Linked DNA regions of Xenopus tropicalis. The protein of the gene in region 3 interacts with the protein of the main gene of each other region in a biochemical or structural test. Links are inferred from orthologs where the notes say so. Each region holds a gene or a part of one and is shown on either strand. Other genes may lie near its edges. The genes, in order: sh3gl1, sh3gl2 and dnm1.

The links.
Region 1: the proteins of dnm1 (region 3) and sh3gl1 form a complex in vitro, tested with the Homo sapiens proteins (2 studies listed by BioGRID and IntAct, with this or other methods). The link is inferred for Xenopus tropicalis from reciprocal best matches to the Homo sapiens genes DNM1 and SH3GL1.
Region 2: the proteins of dnm1 (region 3) and sh3gl2 form a complex in vitro, tested with the Homo sapiens proteins (2 studies listed by BioGRID and IntAct, with this or other methods). The link is inferred for Xenopus tropicalis from reciprocal best matches to the Homo sapiens genes DNM1 and SH3GL2.

The regions. Positions count from the first base shown.
Region 1 is NC_030677.2:93,850,897-93,857,525, reverse strand, and holds the start of sh3gl1 (endophilin-A2), read right to left. Parts: upstream 4,067-6,629; 5' UTR 4,030-4,066; coding exon 3,985-4,029; intron 1-3,984. UniProt on the Homo sapiens protein: Implicated in endocytosis. May recruit other proteins to membranes with high curvature.
Region 2 is NC_030677.2:118,224,130-118,230,832, reverse strand, and holds the start of sh3gl2 (endophilin-A1), read right to left. Parts: upstream 4,090-6,703; 5' UTR 4,057-4,089; coding exon 4,012-4,056; intron 1-4,011. UniProt on the Homo sapiens protein: Implicated in synaptic vesicle endocytosis. May recruit other proteins to membranes with high curvature. Required for BDNF-dependent dendrite outgrowth.
Region 3 is NC_030684.2:22,790,183-22,796,759, forward strand, and holds the start of dnm1 (dynamin-1), read right to left. Parts: upstream 3,959-6,577; 5' UTR 3,785-3,958; coding exon 3,624-3,784; intron 1-3,623. UniProt on the Homo sapiens protein: Catalyzes the hydrolysis of GTP and utilizes this energy to mediate vesicle scission and participates in many forms of endocytosis, such as clathrin-mediated endocytosis or synaptic vesicle endocytosis as well as rapid endocytosis (RE).

The DNA.
Region 1 (6,629 bases), on a different chromosome or scaffold from region 3:
ATGACTGGGTTGCAGGTCCCTTTTAGTATGTTTCATCAACTCTAAGAAGATTGGTCATTGACATTCCCAGAATAGGACATGAAAATCAAATACCGTATTTTCCGGCGTATAAGACGACCCCCAACTTTTGCAGTTAAAATATCCTCAATCTCCCCCCCGCAGCGTCCTAAAGCTCGTCCTCCCCAACATCATCCAGCTACCCCTAGCGTCCTCCCCAACATCATCCAGCTCCCCCTAGCGTCCTCCCCAATATGCTCCAGCTCCCCCCAACATCCTCCCCCACATACTTTAGCTCCCCCCAACATCCTCCCCCACATACTTTAGCTCCCCCCCAACATCCTCCCCCACATACTTTAGCTCCCCCCAACATCCTCCCCCACATACTTTAGCTCCCCCCCAACATCCTCCCCCACATACTTTAGCTCCCCCCAACATCCTCCCCCACATACTTTAGCTCCCCCCAACATCCTCCCCCACATACTTTAGCTCCCCCCAACATCCTCCCCCACATACTTCAGCTCCCCCAAGTGTCCTCCACCACCCCTGCTGCGTCCGGCTGTTTCCTCCGGCTGCTTCATCCGGCTTTAAACGTAATGGCTTCATCCACCACCCCTCCCGCTCGCCTGCTGCTTCCTCCGGCTGCTTAGGTTGCGCCCCGTGCGCGCTGACGTGACGCGTATGCACAGGGCGCAACCTAAGCAGCCGGAGGAAGCAGCAGGCAAGCGGGAGGGGTGGTGGATATAGCCGATCCCTTTAAAGCCGGATGAATCAGGCGAGCGGGAGGGGTGGTGGAGGACGCTGGGGGGGCCCTGCAAGCAAGTACCCGGCGTATAAGACAACCCCCGACTTTAACCCAGATTTTTCGCCGGAAAATATGGTACCTTCAGTTTTGGCTAGCTGTGCAATATTTCACATCTGTATCTCTCTTAATATTACTAGATAGCACTTGCATAAAACACTGATAATTTTTACATAACCTACCACAAGAATAATATTTAAGGGCAGGGGTACACAGGGAGATTAGTCGCGCCGCGATTTGCCGAAGTCTCCCGAAGTTTCCTCTCAAGGCGACTTCAGCAAATCGCGGCGTTGTGTATGCCATCCCACCGGTGATTTGTATTCTAGCCGGTGGGATGGCATTGCGGGGAGATTAGTCATCCGCGACAACGGATGTGTGTGTGTGACTGCCCTAAGAAAAAAAAAAAGGGGCATTAAGACTTTAAATTACAGGGCCACTAACACTAAAAGTGAAAATACTTGAATCAATTTTAATGGGGATTAAAGCTTCCACACTTAGGGGTCTATTCATTAAAGTACGAGTTTGAATCCCGAATTGGGAAAAATTAGGATAAAATACGATAATTTCTGATGATCGCAAATATCACGAAAATGCTTACGAAAAAATAATATTAGTCACGATAATATCATATTGGTGATCCAAAAGTCACAAAATTTTCGTATCCGAACGATCATAAACTGCGGGAAAACCCTTTCTGACTTTGATCCTTCTGTGCTTGTTTTTGGAAGCCTCCCATTGGACTTCAATGGCACTCTGCAGCTCCAACCTGGCCCAAAGAAAGTCACAATACCGAAGCTTGAATGAATCCAAAACTTTCGTACTCGGGCCGACAATACGATTTTGTTGCGTAAGTTTTGTCACAAAGTACGAAAAATTTGCGCAACTATACGACAAAGTCGCAGAAAATAAGCACAGTACAATCAAATACAATTTTTTTTTATTTCGTACCTGTCGTACTTTAATAAATAGGCCCCATAGTATTCATATTAATGCAACTTATAATGAATAATACATTTTTTATTTACATATCTGTGACCCAGTGGAACAAAGCGAAGCCTTTCATAGCAGTAGTTAGCCACCATTTGGCTCACTTACTCTCCCTGAAAGTCTTTGGCTAATCACACCCCAAACCCCCTAAAGTATTTTTTCTAAGTTTTCATACTGTGCATATTTTTTGCGACTTTTTTTGTTAATTTGCATGGCTTTTTTGTATTTTGTGACAGAAAGTGCGACAATTTGTGCGACAAAATCGTATTTGTTGCGCTGAGTATGAAAGTTTCAGATTCATTAAAGCTTCGGTATTGTGCCTTTCCTTTGCCCAGGTTGGAGCTGCAGAGTGCCATTGAGACCTATGGGAGGCTTCCAAAAACATGCACTGAAGGATCAAAGTCAGAAAGGTTTTCCCGCCGTTTATGATTGTTCGGATACGAAAATTTCGTGACTTTTGAATCGCCAATACGATATTATCAAGACTAATATGATTTTTTTGTAAGCATTTTCGTGATATTTCAGTTCATCAGAAATTATTGTATCTAATCAGAATTTTACCCATTTCGGGATTTGAACTCGTACTTTGATGAATCAGCCCCTATGTCAATGTAAGATTTCTGTTTAGCTCAAATTTGGATATCGAGACACACTGCTGCTTAGGGACAGAACAGTATATATTTCTCATGCAGTCGTTTATATTGACTTCTCCATTAAGGATTATACTTATTTATGCAATACCTGCAATTATTTATTGCAGTCATGTTATATAAGTAATGTATGCATTCATCCTTTAGAGGTATAAATAAATAAATGGCATATGACCTGCCTTTACATAAAGGCATTAAACCCATGGTATAAGGCACAGTTTATGTGACACACACGTGCGTGTGTGTGTGTGTGTGTATAGACCTTCAAGCCCTATTGGAACTTAAATGGCATCCCCAATTAACTATATTAAAGCTTCTGAAGCTAACAATTACATTTTTATCATAATTAAAAAATGACAGGATTGCACAAGCCTCCACTGGAATTCAACCTTTGGCCTGAGGGCAGGGCCATACAAAGGCATTAACCAGATTTGGTCCAAGAAACTGAAGAGTGTACACACAAATGTAGTTTTAGCTGCAAGGTAGGCTCTGCCTTAATGGGCACTGGGTTGCTTAACATGAAAAGCAGCACAGCAATCCTATGCTATCACCAAAATTAAAAAAGAAATTCTAATACTATTTTCTCCTAATTAAAGAAAATGTCCCCACATCCAGAAAAGACTAAATGGACACTACTGGCTTTTTTTATAGTCAGCTCTTGGCCAAGTCTGTAAATTAAAGGAACAGTAACACCAAAAAATGAAAGTGTATAAAATGAATGACAATATAATGTACTGTTACATTGCATTTCTACAACTGGTGTGTTTGCCTCAGAAAGACTACTATAGCTTATATAAGTAACCTGCTGTGTAGCCATGGGGGCAACCATTCAAAGGAGAAAAGGCACAGGTTACTTAGCAGATAACAGATAAACCCTCATTATATTGGGCTTATCTACTAGTTATCTGCTATGTAACCTGTGCCTTTTCTCCTTTTTTCCAGCTTGAATGGCTGCCCCCCATGGCTACACAGCAGCTTATTTATATAGTAGCTTTTCTGTAGCAAAAACACCAGTTTTTTGCAGAGCAACAGCACATTATATTTTAATTACTTTAAAACACTTTAATTTTTGATGTTACTGTTCCTTTAACAGAAATCACGAGTGTAGAGCGCACAGTAGGGAATACACAACAAATAGATTTACAAATTTTCAACAAGAACACCCCACATTATATGTTTCTAAAACGTTAGTATGCTTATCTTTTGACTTAATTGCTTCTATGACTTCTTTACACAATGTTTACGTGCATACACAGCGGCACTAGAGCAGCTTCTCCGCCTCTTCCCACACAATGCACATTCCATTCTCACAGGTCCCGAAAGTTGTGTAAGCAAATTTAGACAAACGTATGCCGATATTCGTGTAAAGCGAAAGCGACTCTAGAGTGCGAACTTTACATGATACAGATGTACATCCCGCCTCCCCAAGCCCTCACCCAACAAAAAAGAATGCACAGAGCTGGTGTCTCCGGGGACACAGTTTGAATACTTCAAAAGTAAGACTTCGCAGTTAACATCATCTGCCTTCAAAATACATGTAGCGCTCACCTGACTTGCTTTATAAAACTGCTTTTTAAGCCCGGCTACAGACATTGTTGCGGTACACTAAGATTGCAGGACTACAGGAATCGCGGACAAAACTGTAGAGCCTCTCCCCAGGCTCCTCTCTCAGGATATTACATGGCAACCGCTTACTTCCGGTATAAGGCAGGAAACGGGGGAGGATAGCAGAGGCACAATCTTGAAGTGTTGCGTTTAACTATGAGCACAGTTTGCGAACAATAAATCATTATATTTGATTCCAGGGGCATATATTATTTAATCAAGATAAATATGTTATTTTTAATGTTGCACGTCTTATTATTTAATTAAAACAAATATGTTGGGTATTATATTTTATGTAAATAACAAGTGGTATTTTTCTATTTTAATAAAAAGTAATGTCACTGTGAATAAAAAAATACAGTGAATGATTACTTTTAGTAAGTTATTTTGCTGTGTTTTGAATTCAATAGTATGTCTACTGTTAAGGTCCCCATACACTGGCAGATCCACTCGCTTGGCGATGTCGCCAAGCGAGCGGATCTTCTCCCGATATCCCCCACCTACGGGTGGGTGATATCGGGAGAATGCAGGATAATTGCCTTGGGGCCAAACGATCAAATTATAATGACGGGCATAGGTAAAGTTGGTCTGGGGTCTGCATCAACGAGCCGATCCAACTAGATTTTTTAGCCTGCCCGATCAAGATCTGGCCGATTTCAGGCCAGATCTTTCTACTATGGGCCGTGTATGGGGACCTTTAAGCTGGCCAAGCGAGCAGATCTTCACCCGATATCCCCACCTAGGTGGCCAAACACAGGCCGATTCTAGCTACCGAGATCGGTCCCTTAGACCAATTCGGAAGCTTATCGGTCCATGTAGGGGCAATGACGATGGGCCTGCCCAACCAATATCTGGCCTGAAATCATCCAGATCTTGATCAAGCATGTTTCATTTTTTATCGGATTGGGGACCGCATCGGTTTGTTGAAAAATGTCTTAATATATCTGTATGTCATTTGTGTATAAGTGATATTTAAGTACTAATGAAGAGATAAGGTTTCCTTAAAAGAGAATGAACACAGAGAAACAACAGACAGCTGAGAACAGAACAATGAGGCACCCACACACTAAAGGTGGCCATACACGTAAAGATCCGCTCACCTGGCAAGGTCGCCAAGGGAGCAGATCTTCTCCCGATATCCCCACCTACGGATGGGCGATATCGGGGGAATTTAGGATAATTCGGTCGTTTGGCCCTGGGGCCAAACAATCGAATTATAACAACTGGAATAGGCCCAGTTAGTTCGGGGACCGCATCAACGAGCCGATGCGGTCCCAAATCCGACTGAATTTTTGAAAATCAATAAAACATTAATTAAACCCAATAGGATTGTTTTGCATCCAATAAGGATTATTTATATCTAAATTGGGATTAATTACATGGTACTGTTTTATTACTACAGAGAAAAAAGAAATCAGTTTTAAAATTCTAAATTATTTGATTAAAATGGAGTCTATTGGAGACAGGCTTTCCGTAATTCGTAGCTTTCTGGATAACGGGTTTCCGGATAAGGGGTCCCATACCTGTATTATGTTTTGGCTTTGTTAATCTGAAGATCCTTTGCAACTCTACATAAGGCCATCTCAGTGGAGTGCACAGGTCAGCTATCAGACCAGCAGATTATGGGTACAAAGAAAGTTAGTAAGAAAAAAAGAAAAGAAAACATAAGACATCTCAGGAATTTCGAGGCTACAGGTGAAATAGAGACAGGGTCGTAGTTAGGCAGGAGAGTACAATTTAGCTTTTGTAAGAAAAAGGCTTGATGCAGGCCTGTTTAAACAAGAAGTTAAGGTGAAAACTAAGTAAGCTTTATCAGAAAGGTCTATGTAAATACTGCCATAAGCGCTTACAGTAATGCTGCACTATCAAAAGAAACACAGGATTTCTTGTCTCCTTTTTTGTAAACATGTTAGGGTATCTGACTTCCTCTCTCAGAAAAATCCTTCATTCCCAGAGCCAGAGTCTGCACAACTCTTCCCTCTCCTGCTCCCCCCTCCCATAAGAATTCCTAAAATTCACTCCCCCCACCCTCAGGAATGTATGATCTAAGCTAGCTATAGGCTAGACTGCAAACAGGAAGCTAAGAACACCATGCTAAAATGGCAGCTGCAATCAGAGAAAGCTTCTAGGGCCCTTTACTCAGGTATGATAAAGTTTTCTGCAAAATAAATATAGCATTTTAGGTGGCACTAATGTGGCAAATCTATTAGCAGTAAAATGCCAAAATGACTTTCCTTCTCCTTTAAATACATACTGCTACAGAAGTGTAAATCTACACTAATTTTGTAGTAGAGCCATTAGGCTTTCCAGTGCCAGATTGTAAGGACTAAGTTAGAATAGCCAGAGATAAATTATGTGCCCCACCTTCTTTTTCTCACTGCATATAATAAAGGATTCAGAATTTCATGACCCACTCAGTAGAGGCAAAGATGGCTCAGCTAAATCAAGTCTACTTTTCTTTTCTGCTGATTCACAGCACATGCTCTAAACTTAGGGAGCAACTTAATATATATATAGTACAAATATGATATAAAAGTTACAGTACAAAGTAAATAATTCAGATTTAAAGTACATGGCAGCTGAAAGAC
Region 2 (6,703 bases), on a different chromosome or scaffold from region 3:
TAGGGAGCCAAAAATGATAAAGTGAAACCCAAGGTTTTCTATTTGAATGTGCTATTTAAATTACATATGCTATTGTGGGTTCCAGTTCATATTATATTCCTAATAAGGTATGCCAGCCAGTATAAAATGGTAACTGTTAGAACAAGTGTCAGCTGTTCTAGTAATCTTAGATAGGGAGCTATAGGTTATTTCCTGGTCTTTTATTATTGTTATCCTTTGCTTATTTAACACCAGCATTTTCCATATATCTTGTAATAGGTTACATACACCACTCACATCAGTGCTTGCCCTATACAAGGCACTTTGGCCACACACCTTATGGACAGTTTTATCAAGGGCCATGTTTTGGCATGTAGGAGAGAATCAAGGCAGGCATTAGAACAAGATAGAAACTCCTAGTTGGAAGCCAACCACAGCACATGGGATTATGGGCTCTGTAACTGGACAGGGAACTTGGGAAGCAGTGGGTGAGTTTTAGAATGACATATAGTGGGTCTGGGGCTGCAGGGACATGAAACAGACAAAGAACAAACAGGTGCACACAATATTACTGGAAAAGAGGCTGGTGTAACCCCGCCAAGGCCTTTTATAAAGCAAAGACAAAGTATCATATTAGCAGAGTCAAGCATACAAGACAAGTCAACAAAGTCAAGCAGGGAAGAGGTTACTGCTTCTGGCAGCAAAGAGGTCTGGAGAGACAAATAAAAGAATAAATACTGTGAATACTGATGCAATGTGTGAGTTGGGTTCCAGAGAAAGTGACCTGTAGTAACTGGCAGCTAGGTTTATAGCAATGAGCAGTGTGACAGCAGTTAACATACTGATTTTGCACTAAATGTGTTTAATTTTCCCTACCTATGTTTTCCACCAGCAGCTCTGCTAACCAGACTGCCAACCCTTTAAACTGCTACAATTTCATACATTAGTTGTTACATTTGAAGCATACTTCCTGGGCTTTTAGTCTGCAACATAATAACTATTACATTTGTTGCTGACATTTTTCAAATGCTCCTGAGAAATGTATCTAATTTTAACATTAACAGTTTAAAAGGCAGTTAACCTAATTAACAAATTAAAATGGGGGAGGAAAATAAAACTAATTTGTTTTTAAAAACCTACATTTTATAATACATTACAAAATGAAGACATTATGTATGGTGTAGTAAATGAAATTATGTTTGTAAAGGTGCCTGCTCCTTTAAGAATGTTACTATACATTTAGAGATGTACTCATGGGTCAGTAGGGTTTTGATGGAAAGTAATTCAGTCATTCAGATATTGATGTGCTGTTAATTTAACCTTCCCATCAGGAAAAAGTAAACTGCATGTCGGCTGTTTTGCTGATTCAGCAAGAAAACTGAACCAAAAAAAAATTTATTGATGAATTTTACCCTTGGAGCTTTCAGATAAACTCCTCTAAACCTTTTATTCCTTTATTTTGTTCAAGTTTACAAACCTTCCACAACACAGTCGAAGATTCATATGAATTTCAGCCAGTGAATATTTTATATTAAAACCCACACCAAATAAAAACAGACTGTGCAATGCAACTTGGTTGAAGTTGATGTACAGTTATACAAATGTAGTCACAATTAAAGGGCTTTCTAAAATATTTTTCAATAATGGATCAGCTATTAACTATTTAATTTCAGTGTCTACACTTGACCCCTGCATTTGGGCAGGCTTTCTAATAAAATAAAATGTAGTGACAGATGACAGAAATCAACACTTGGTAAATAATGTACTAGATGCCTAGGTTTTACCATACCAGCCCCAAGGCAGCTTCTTTTCCTATCTTCGAACTGAGAACCCCCTCTGCCACCACTCCTGCACTCAGACATGGGCGAGGGGGGCTTCACAACTTGTCTTAAAAGAGTCGTACCAGCCTAGGGGTACATGGGCCCTATGACAATGAAGAGCCATGAATGAAAAGTTTTCCTTCATCTTGTGTCAGCTCTTTTCCTAGTGACAGAAGCAATGCATGTATTCAGTGTGGCCTGCATGCTGGAGTTATTACTCGTGACTAGAGCAGATCATGCATGCCCAGTGATGCCACCAGCAATGAAAATAGGGGACTAAATCCTTAGAGGTCATCTGTACCTACAGGCATGTACAGCAGCCTTGTACATAATATTGGTCATATCTTGCCTTATGCTAGTTGCCCTATAAATATTTTGGTCTACTTAAGGAAAATAACATGGGAAGGGCCCCTGCATTCCTTTTCTAAGAACAGATACTATATATGCCACTGTTGGATGTGCAGGGCTCTGGGCCATTGGGAGGCTGGGGGGCAGATCCTGGTGCAGATTGTATTCCTTTCTCTCATGGTATTTATTCCACTGAGTGCAAAGATAAGTTTTCTATTGCTCCCTGGATGATTAATTCAGGGTGCATTTAACAGGGTTATGTCATCACATTACTCCTTTTATTATAATACAAAATGGGCTTTTTGTTGGAGCCCTGCAACTCTGATCCTGAAAGTATATTTAGAATTCCTTCCAAAAAAGCAAGTGTGAGATTTTGTTGTTTGCCAAAGAGCAAGTAAATTAGGTCACCAAGAATCCAAGAAACTGATTCCATTAAGCAAGCATAAAATATAGCAATAACTTTTCCTGAATCAGGGGAAGCTGGTTGTAAGAGGGCAAATAAATAGGCCTGATTGGGGCATAACTGGGCAGGCTGGTGGTGTACCTACAGGAGAGTCTACATTTACTAGAAATGACAAAGGTCAGAACCGGTATTGCAGGTTTACTGGCAGAGTCAGTATTTTACCAACTAGGTATGTGTAATAGCAGCCGGTAGCAACCTTAACCAGGTAATGTGCAAAAACTAATGAGAAATGCTATTACACAGCAGGTATAAAGCATATTGCTTTAGTCATTATACGTGATGCTGAAAATTACGGCATATACAGTGAAAGGCTTGAGGCAAACAATAGCAATAATAGAGGCTTTAAACTCCCTAATTAAAGGTAACTTTGAAATCATGTCCTAGTGTCCCTATGAGAGGGGATTAAAAAAACAGAACTGCAATATCACATCCTTCCTGCAGAAGAGCCGAGAGAGAGAGGAGACCTCCCCAACCTGTTTAATAATGCAGCTGATATCAGATAGCTCTGCATGGAGCTTTTGGCTGCAGGCAGCAGTAGGGATGAGGAGGTGACCTCTATGGGAGAATTTCTGTGTGAACACTGACTGCAGACAAACTGATGTAAATCCTAAATCTAAGATCATGATTTGGCTTCAGCAGTTAGTAATCCCTCTATGCTGTGCCTATCTCCTAATCTCCATTTTATCCAAGTGTGCTGTGATACACAGGAGAGCTGCTGCACGCCTCCAACACAGAGACAGAGAGATAACCCTGCTGCATTTTATCACCATTGCTAGGATCACAGCTTTCCCCTGCATTTACTGCCTGTGCATCACCATAGAAATAAAACCACAAAGATGAGGCAGATTACTGAGTTACCTCAATACATTTCATTTTGACCTGGATTTCCATGACAGCTGGCATTGTCTTTTGTTTAACCCATGGCATGCTGAAGTTTTATTGTGTGTATCATGGTTATCAGTCAGCCAGTGGGGTACCAAGCCCCATCCTTACTACAGTCATGTGGGGGTTCCCATGGGATATATATTATGGGAAAGCAGAGTATCAATTCCAGCCTACCCCCGGATCCTGCGCTAGTATTTACATCTATTATGGGGGGGAGGGGGGGATTTCTAGCAATTACACCCATATAATCAGATGTATTGATGCACACACTCCATATAGCAACAAATCACAATTGCAGCGATAAAAATAGCCTGGAGATGCCCCTGGGGGTTAACCCTTACACAGCCAGAGCGCTGCTCGCCTTGCACAAATGCCCCGAAACCTGCTGAACAGATGAATCCGTGTCATAGTCGTTGTTCCCAAAATAATGTAGGCAAGAGCCAGGGCGACAGGGAAAAGGGAAGGACCCCTCTGCAGAATGACAGGGGGCTGCAGCCATGAAATCGCTTGATTTACCTGAGTGGCTTTGTGGAACTGCTTCTTGAGCCCTGCTACCGACATGCTGCAATATGGCCGGGTCCCCTCCTGCTGCTGTTGTTGCTGCCTGGTGTCCGGGTGAGAGGTGCAGATGGCCGGCCTCGCTCGGGACTGCAAGGGAATTTCTCCTCTCCTGCTCGGATGGCAGTAATCCTGTGATGCTGCTGCCGCCTTAATGCAGGGACACCGTGACGTCAGCAGGCAGCCCGCCTGGCTCCTCCCACCTGCCCTCCCCTGTGTGGGGCCTCCCCCAAGTGGCGGCGCATCAGGGGATTCTATCACCTTCTGGGTGCAAATATTTCTCGCTATAAAACCAGATAGGAAACATATTCTGTTAATGCCTTTAAGAGGGGCCTGGATGAGTTCTTTAACAATCAGAATATCCAAGGCTATTGTGATACTAATATCTACAGTTAGTATTAGTGGTTGTATATATAGTTTATGTATGTGAGTGCAGGGCCGCCATCAGTGGGGCACAGGGGGTACTGTTGTGCCGGCCCGGACGATATCCTCGCTTTAAAGGGGGCCCGGCTGTGACACAGTTTTTTTTTTTTAGCTGTCTGTCCCCAATGCATACATCACTGCCAAGCACAAAGCACTGGACCTGGGGTATCCCTTATAAGGGGTCTTTCCGTAATTTGGATCTCCTATCTTAAGTCTACTAAAACTTACATTCTCTTTAAATTAAATGTCTTTCTAGTCTGTCCCCCACTCCCAAATTTGATGCTGCTGTTCAATGTTCAAATTATTTGGGTTCAAGCCCTGCTTAGCTAATACTTAGCTTATACATTTGTTGAACCATATCACTCATTCTACTATATTTACAACAATATTCAGTAAATCAATTACATTAGGTACCTTCATTGGCTATCAGTCTAGGCTTTAGGGGATATCTAGGAAAGCAAGTTAGCACTCCCCAAATCTCAAACTAACTGACCATTAGCCTTGGGCACTTTACTATGCTTTGGGCTCTTCTAGGGGGCAAAACCTCACAGCATAATCATAAGCATAGCATCTTTGTCATTTCACTGTTTCTGGTTGTTAAATAATTCAATAAACTTAATGTAAAAAAGGGAAAAAATGCTATTGCAAGGTGCACATGTTTAACCACAAGATACAGTAGAGAGCTAGTGTACTGGAAATAGTAGGATGAGGTCCCCAGAGAGATGTGACAATTTCACTGCACAGGCATCCCATAACAGTGTAGGGTAACCTGAAACACCCTGTGCTACGTGTGTACTACATTACTGGTGCTTGAACTATGCTGAAAGGTGACTGTGTGATAAAACATTACTTTGTAGTGGTTCAATATTTGTTAAATAATTGTCACACATTGCTTGTAACATGCATAATGCTGGACTTACATTTCCAGGAATTATAGTTCATATCAATACTGTACATTTAGAACGCTTATCTACTGGGTGTTAAAAAGGGTGGGGAAAATTAGATTTGAAAAATAGGGGTTCTTCGTTGTCACCTGTATAGTACCCACAGATGAAATCCCTAGCTGATCAGTGGCCACCCCTGTGATTGCTAATAAATACTGGTTTCTACTATACATCCCTTCCTTAGAGGTATATTTATCATGCTGTGTAAAAAGTGGAGTAAACCATTACCGGTGATGTTGCTCATAGCAGCCATAGCAGTTGAAATCTAATTGCTGATTGGTTGCCCTGGGCAACATCACCGGTAATGTTTCACTCCACTTTTTACACAGAATGGTAAATATACCCCTAGTGCATGTGCAAAGAATCTTTCTTCGCCTTTATCTGCAGCCTGCGCTAAAGTGTCCCCCCATCCCAATACAGTATACGGTATGTTGCCATACTGTAGGCAGCTCCGTATGTAGATAGAACTGCCAGTAATGGAACACATTCAGGTGCACTGGGGTCTAGCTATTTTCAGGGACATACAGTATGTCTGTATTAATTTGATTTTCATTTACAGATAATTTGCATGCACTTATATACAGTTTCTGTTAAGGCTATTCAAACCCAAACAATGTCATAGTTAAAGGACAAGCAAAAGTAGAATTGCTGAGGGGTTCCAACATGTATATTTCTTTATAGCACCATGCCATCATTTTGTTCAGGAGTCCCAGCAACATCTGTACCACCCTATATAACATACCCCCCAACTGTCCCGCTTTTCGCGGGACAGTCCCGGTTTTTACAGCGCATCCCGCTGTCTGTACGAAAATGCAGAACATTCATTAAACTATCCAGGCCAGCGGGATGCGCTGGCTGCAGCCAAGCGCTCTGGCTCCGTCAAGTCCTGTGGCTCCTACTTCTTATTCTGCTCCTCGTATGGCGGGGACAGGCCCTTTAATAAGGTTGCGCCTGTGCATACGTGTGATGTCACACGTACGCACGGGGCGCAACCTTATAAAAGGGCCTGTCACCGCCGTAGCAGGAGCCGCATAAGGAACAGGAGCCACAAGAAGTAGCGTCTATGGGGGGCACTGTGTATTGGGGGCCTTTACTATTGGAGGTACTCTCTATGGGGGCAATTGGGGCTACTGTGTATGGGGGTATGTGTATAGGGGGATTTTCTATTGGAGGTACTCTCTATGGGGGCAATTGGGGGCTACTGTGTATGGGGGTACTGTGTATGGGGGCAATTTGGGGCACTTTCTATGGGGGCATTGTGTACGGAGGGTACTTTCTATGGG
Region 3 (6,577 bases):
ACAGTAATGGACACAAAGGGTAAATCTGTCAGTGCTACCATGAAACACGTAATTAAAGGGATAGAACATGCATGTTATTGACAAGCAGATGCCTGCAAGAAACACAAATGATGGTCTAGAGGGGTTGGGTGTTCTTGGTACAACATGGAAGCAACCATGCTCTTAGTATTGGGGCCCTGACCCATGACATTGCTGATTTTACTATACTATGCATGTAAATGGCCCTGGGCAGCCACAAGAGTTCCATGGACCCTGCCGTGACAGTGCAGTGCTTAGAGGAAATCTACAAGCATACAAAAAGAGAGGGGGATTGATCAATGCACATTCCCTGGTCCCCTGTTTCATAATTAAATTGTCTATGCTAGTGCATGTATTTACAAAAAACAGGGGGTTTTAGTTACAAAGTTATGATCATAAGATTGGTAAGCCACCATACCACGTTAAGGTAAACCCAGTATGGTGGTCCATTTATTTATTTATGGTGGTCCATTTATTTACCTCTGGTCATATTTTTCAAAGACTGCCATTCTTGACCTGGGGGCTGGTTTGAGTCAGAGGGCGTAGTCACTCCCATGCCTTCAGCTTTTATAGGGAGAGATTGCCAGGACCACAGTTTGGTCCTACAGGCTTGCAGCTTGTAAAGGAGAAGACTGCCCATTATCCAACACCCATTTTTTTAAAGGCATAAGACCACCATTAAAGGGACAGGTGTGGGGGTGCTACACCCACATGGAAGTAAGCCATTCTTCCTGCAGAATAACTCTGCTAAAATACATAGATACAAAAAGGAAATCTACCCTGTGCTGGTGCTTTTTTTCAGGGGAGAGGGGTAACAGTTTGAGATCCAAGTGACAATATTCACAGTGAATGTCTAACAAATTAGCACCCACTAGTTACACTTTGCTACCACCAATATACGCTATCATAATGGCTGAACATACAAAGTGCTGTGCATTGTCTATACATATGAATACAAGGCTGGCAAAGCACATACTGCTCGGTTCTAGCTTATAGGCCTTCAGCTACTGTCCAACTACAAATCCCAGAATCTTACCCCCCAGAAAGCCTTGGTCTGCATATAGCTGTAATGCCAACAGCGGCTGAGGGGATACAGACTGAAAGGTCTTTTTGCCATCATGTCTTCTCTTACTATATCCATCAGCTGCATCCCTAGAAGTTACTGCCCCCTTGGGAACTTTATATAAGAAAACTTTATTCATTTTGTATCAGTCAGTGGCCCATCTGCCTCCCCCAAAGGTTGCTGCCTTCCTCCTCTTTACCCACTATGCCCCCAGCCTTTTCCTACAACTGTTTGGCCCTTATATTGACCTCCCTAATTAGATATCTCAGTATATATATATATATATATATATATATATATATATATATATATATATATATATATATATATATATATATATATATATATAGAAAAAGGCTGAGGCACACACTTATAGGGATTACAACCTGGGTGCAAATCAGATAAACAATGTAAATATGTAAAAAATGCTGATGCACACCAGGAACATTTAATCAAAAAAAGATACTTATTTTATTTAGATCAAATAAAATATATATTTGCCTATTACACCCCCCCCCCCCAAAAAAAAATAACCCCCCACGTCCTTAGCACATAGAGATTATACAGCCAGGGTAAAGCACAAATCTCCTGCTGGTTACAGGAGCAGCTGGTATCCCTTATTGCTTCCAGCTCTCTCCAGAGACTGCGCTCACAGCCTGTAATCTCATTTAACCCTACAGTTCATTTGGAGGCTTTGCTAGTGTAAAGCAGGTAGCAGAGTAATTAAGCGCAACACATAGCTATTGGCTAATCACCCAGCATCTGATTTGCCATTACTAATTAAAGGGACATTTCCAACCCAAGACCTTTTTTGGAATCTCTAACCCAAAACCTTCTGTTGTGGATGTGGCTGTTTATATTCTCTGCACTGCTGGTTGTGACTGCTCAGGGCTGCCACAATGGATCCCTGGGGCAAGACAGAAGATGGCAGCTCAACTGTACTCAACAGGCCGGGCATTTTTCAGCAATGAGAAGTACTGGCCCAGGGTCTGAGGTTACCCAATACATTCACTGGGGACACCTAACAAATTAACCCCCCCCCCAACGAGCAACCCTTTTCCTTCTTTTCACAGGCTATTGCATTTACATATAACTTTCAAACCACTGACAGTGAAAAGTTGCATAGAATTACTTTTTCATTAATTAGATAAAGACATTGTATTTGGCTGTAGTTCCCCTTTAAGGCTATGTAATATGATAATTGTACAGCATAGCCTTGTTCCTGCTCAGGTTTAAAGCTCTGGGGCACATCCTGTTTAACAGAGACAAAATATTTATTCAGTGCAGAATCCCTGCACCTTTTTCCCATGTCAGTATCCAATTCCATCTGACCCCTTCAGTCAAATACATAGGGACGGTGCCTACTACTCCCAGTGTCACCTTGAGGAGCCAGCACTCCCTGCAACTGATTAACGCCAGTCCAACTGCACCATCACTGCCTAATGCACCAACCAGGGATATCCCATCACAACCAAGCAATACACATAATGATTGCAGCGTCAGCCTGGCAGATCCATTGAGCCATTACTCCATGTGTGTGTGTGTATATAAAGATAGATAGATAGATAGATAGATAGATGATAGATAGATAGATAGATGATAGATAGATAGATAGATAGATAGATAGATATATAGATAGATAGATAGATGATAGATAGCTTCCATATGTCTCTGCAGGCTGGAAGGAGTCCCAATGTATTTGTCAATGTAAACAAAATGCCGTCACATTAGAATTGATATAGAGGGCGCTTTATTTATTTTAAATAGGATACTTATATTAAGTAGGAAGGGGGGGGGGGGCAACTGCTTGGTCTAAAAAAGAAAGGTGCCTTAAGCCCCAAAAGACAGACGTCCTATGTCTTAGCCCAAAAACAAATAATACTGCAGTGCCAGTTAAAGGTGCCCTTAACGCAAAGGCTTCATTCAATTCATCCCTCATCTTTGTATCATGTATTTGCCTAGTTCTGCTCTGTACAGCAATGGGCTGTATATGGACTTTATATCAAGGCATATTTACCCCCTGTATAAGCAGACTGATAACATTGGTCCTATAATTCCCCCCCCTCCCCCTTCCTTCATTGCAGAAGAGACACACTGTATCCTATAACACCTCCCCCATCTTTATTTCTCCATTCCTCTCCATTCGCCCCTATAAAGCATGTTTATATCCATGCATCCTAGGTACCCCGCTAATAATATACAGTCAGGGACCCCCAGGATGCCCTGCTGGGCGATGCCATGGAATGCCTGTTCTGTACAAGGACAATGCCATATCTGATGACCCCTCTCTGTGCTGTGCCTGTTGGACAAGGTGAATCCTACCCTTGGGTCTCAGATTGCACACATATCCATTATTCATCGTTATTCTATTCGACCAGATCGCGATAAAACGTTCTAGGCAACAGATCGCGATAATAAAATGCCAAATAAAGCCCAGTCGCCATTGAATGATATCTGCTAATAAACATATTATACTGCCCCCCTCCTCATCTCCTTAGGTTATTATAATGCGGGTAGGTGAGCCATCATCTTCCTTACTTACTTGCCAACGAAATTCTCCAGAACCGAGCTCTTTCCAGCGCTCTGACCCCCAACCACAGCGATCTGTGGCAGGTCCAGGTTGGCATTTTGTCCTATGGATGAAAAGGCATCTTGAAGCCGGTTAACCAGAGGAATCAGCTCCTCCATTCCTCGGTTGCCCATGATGGAAGGCTGCCTTGTGTCTGCCTCAGCCTGGGAACGTCGATCTAATATGCTTCTTACACCTTTTCCCCAGTGACAGAGAAAGGCAGCGGGGACAGATGTGTAGGACCCCCTAAGATCGACGTTCTCCTGCTTCTCCTCCTCCTGGATGTGCGCTCTGCGCCTTCCCCAGACTGCCAACTCAAGCGCATACGCTGCTCCTTAGGGATTTAAACGGCAATGTGCAACTGCTGCCACAAGAGGGAGCCTAATGCTAAGGAGTGTGCGCTAAGGCAGCACTGACAGGATGATGAGGGGGTGGGATTTTAACTGCATTTTGCTTCTTCCGCCACTAGAGGGAGCGTCATGCTAAAGAGTATGCGCTAAGGGTGCAGCAAAGTGTAATGTGGATTGTGTAGTGACAGATTGTCACTTGCAGCAATGCTGTCAACAAAGGTGGCTCATGTGCAAATATGCCTTTCTTGGTACACCAGGAACTGGAAGAAAGCTTTAGCCCCAGATGATGTAGAAAGGAACAGATATTGTATAAAAAGCCGGGTTAGGGGGAGCCCTATTACTAACCCTGAAATTCAATATAGGGGCCTTCTTACACTTAGGGTTGCCACCTTTTGTGGTAAAATATATTTTCTATGTATTTAGTTTCTCCATTAATAACATGGGGATCAAGCATAATTTTTACCAGCCAGACTGGTAAAATAGCAACAAGGTGGCAACCCTAATTATACCAGGACTCATCAAAAACACTCCAAATCAAGGCAGGAAGTATAAGCCAGCACTCACTGATTGCTACACTCCTTCTGCACATGAGTTTATGTAACCCTTTAACAGCTTTTGTGCCACCAGTAATCAAATTTTTAGGCACGCTTGAAGAAGTAAATGACCCCCTTCCTCTCCATACTGTTGTAAAAATGTTTCAGCATCTGATCCGAACAAGGACAGGATTTGCCTTCCCAGAAGTGAGTGCTCTGTTCCTGGGATTTCACTGGGAGTGTTGATTCAGCATCATATATAAATGTTATGTACTATATACAGGCACAGATATAATACCCATCTGCCATGCATGGCAAATATGTGATGTATAAATTTACATGCCTGCTCTGAGACAGCTTTTATTGAACTGGCCTGCTAGTGCCACCTGCTGGCTGAAGCTGAGATTGCAGCATATGTACTATTCTCCCCCTCCATTCTTACAATGGAGTCATTCTATAGCAGGGGTTGGGAACCTTTTTGGCTGAGAGAGCCATAAACACCACATATTTTAAAATGTAATTCCACGAGAGCCATACAATATGTTTGGCCGCGGATGCTGCGGGGCAAGGTAGGGTGTGTCCCAAGGATGCCGGATGCGGAGGAGGGTGTGGCCTGCGCTCGGTGGATAAAAGATGTGTTCTAAGGCTTAGAACATATCTTCTATCCGCCGAGCGCAGGCCACACCCCCGTTATTTATTTTATTAAAGAGTTGGCAGCGAGCCAGATGCAGCCATCAAAAGAGCCACATCTGGCTCTCGAGCCATAGGTTCCCTACCCCTGTTCTATAGGGTTATTACCTACACAATGTACCTGTCATTGCCTTTATCCTACTGTTAGGTAGGTACAGGTATGGGATCTCTGATCTGGAAACCCAATATCCAAAAACTATTATGGGAAGGTCATCGTTCATAGACTCCCTTGTACTTTATCCTGAGAAAGAGATCATGAATTGGTGGCAAAACAATCCTACTGGGTGGTCAGGTTAACTTTTAGTATGCTATAGAATGGCCTCTTCTTAGCAACTTTTTAATTGGTCTTCATTTTTTATTTTGTATAGTTTTTTTTTAATTATTAGCTTCTTCTGACTCATTCCAGCTTTCAAATGAGGGTCACTGACCCCAGAAGCCAAAAAACTATTGCTCTGTGAGGCTACAGTTGTATTGTTATTGTTCCTTTTTATTACTTATCTTTTTATTTAGGTCCTCATCTATTCATATTCCTGTCTCTCTTTCAAATCACTGCCTGGTTGCTAGGTCAAATTGGACCATAGCAACCAGATAGTTGTCAAAAATCGCAAATAATAAAAACAATTACAATTTTTATTAGAATAGCATTCTCTACGTCAAACTAAAAATTATTGTATAGGAGGCTAAATTTATGGTGATCCAAATTACAGAAAGATGCCTTATCCAAAAAAAACCCAGGTCCCAAGCATTCTGGATAAAAGGTTAAAAGGTCCCATGCTGCACTTTTTATTATAAGGAAGGAGAAAATTATATTCTAACTCTTAAGTAACCAACACAAAGAAATCTAACAGATGAAATTTAACTAAATCCACCCACACCATCAGCTGTGTGACATTCACTGCCATCTCTCTGCATATTTGTATTTATACATATTGTTTCCCTTAGACAGTAGAGCATGAGGGTATAGCTTATTGTGTGCCCAGAACATTCCTTCTCTGTATATTTGTATTTATACATATGTGAGGGAGGTACCATATTCTTTCCCTTAGACAGAACAGTATGAGGGTACAGCTGATTGTGTGCCCAGAACATTCCTTCTCTGTATATTTGTATTTATACATATGGGAGGGAGGTGCCATATTCTTTTCCTTAGACAGTATAGTATGAGGGTACAGCTTATTGTGTACCCAGAACATTCCTTCTCTGTATATTTGTATTTATACATACGAGAGGAAGGTGCCATATTGTTTCCCTTAGACAGTACAGTATGAGGGTACAGCTTATTGTGTGCCCAGAACATTCCTTCTCTGTATATTTGTATTTATACATATGGGAGGGAGGTGCCATATTCTTTTCC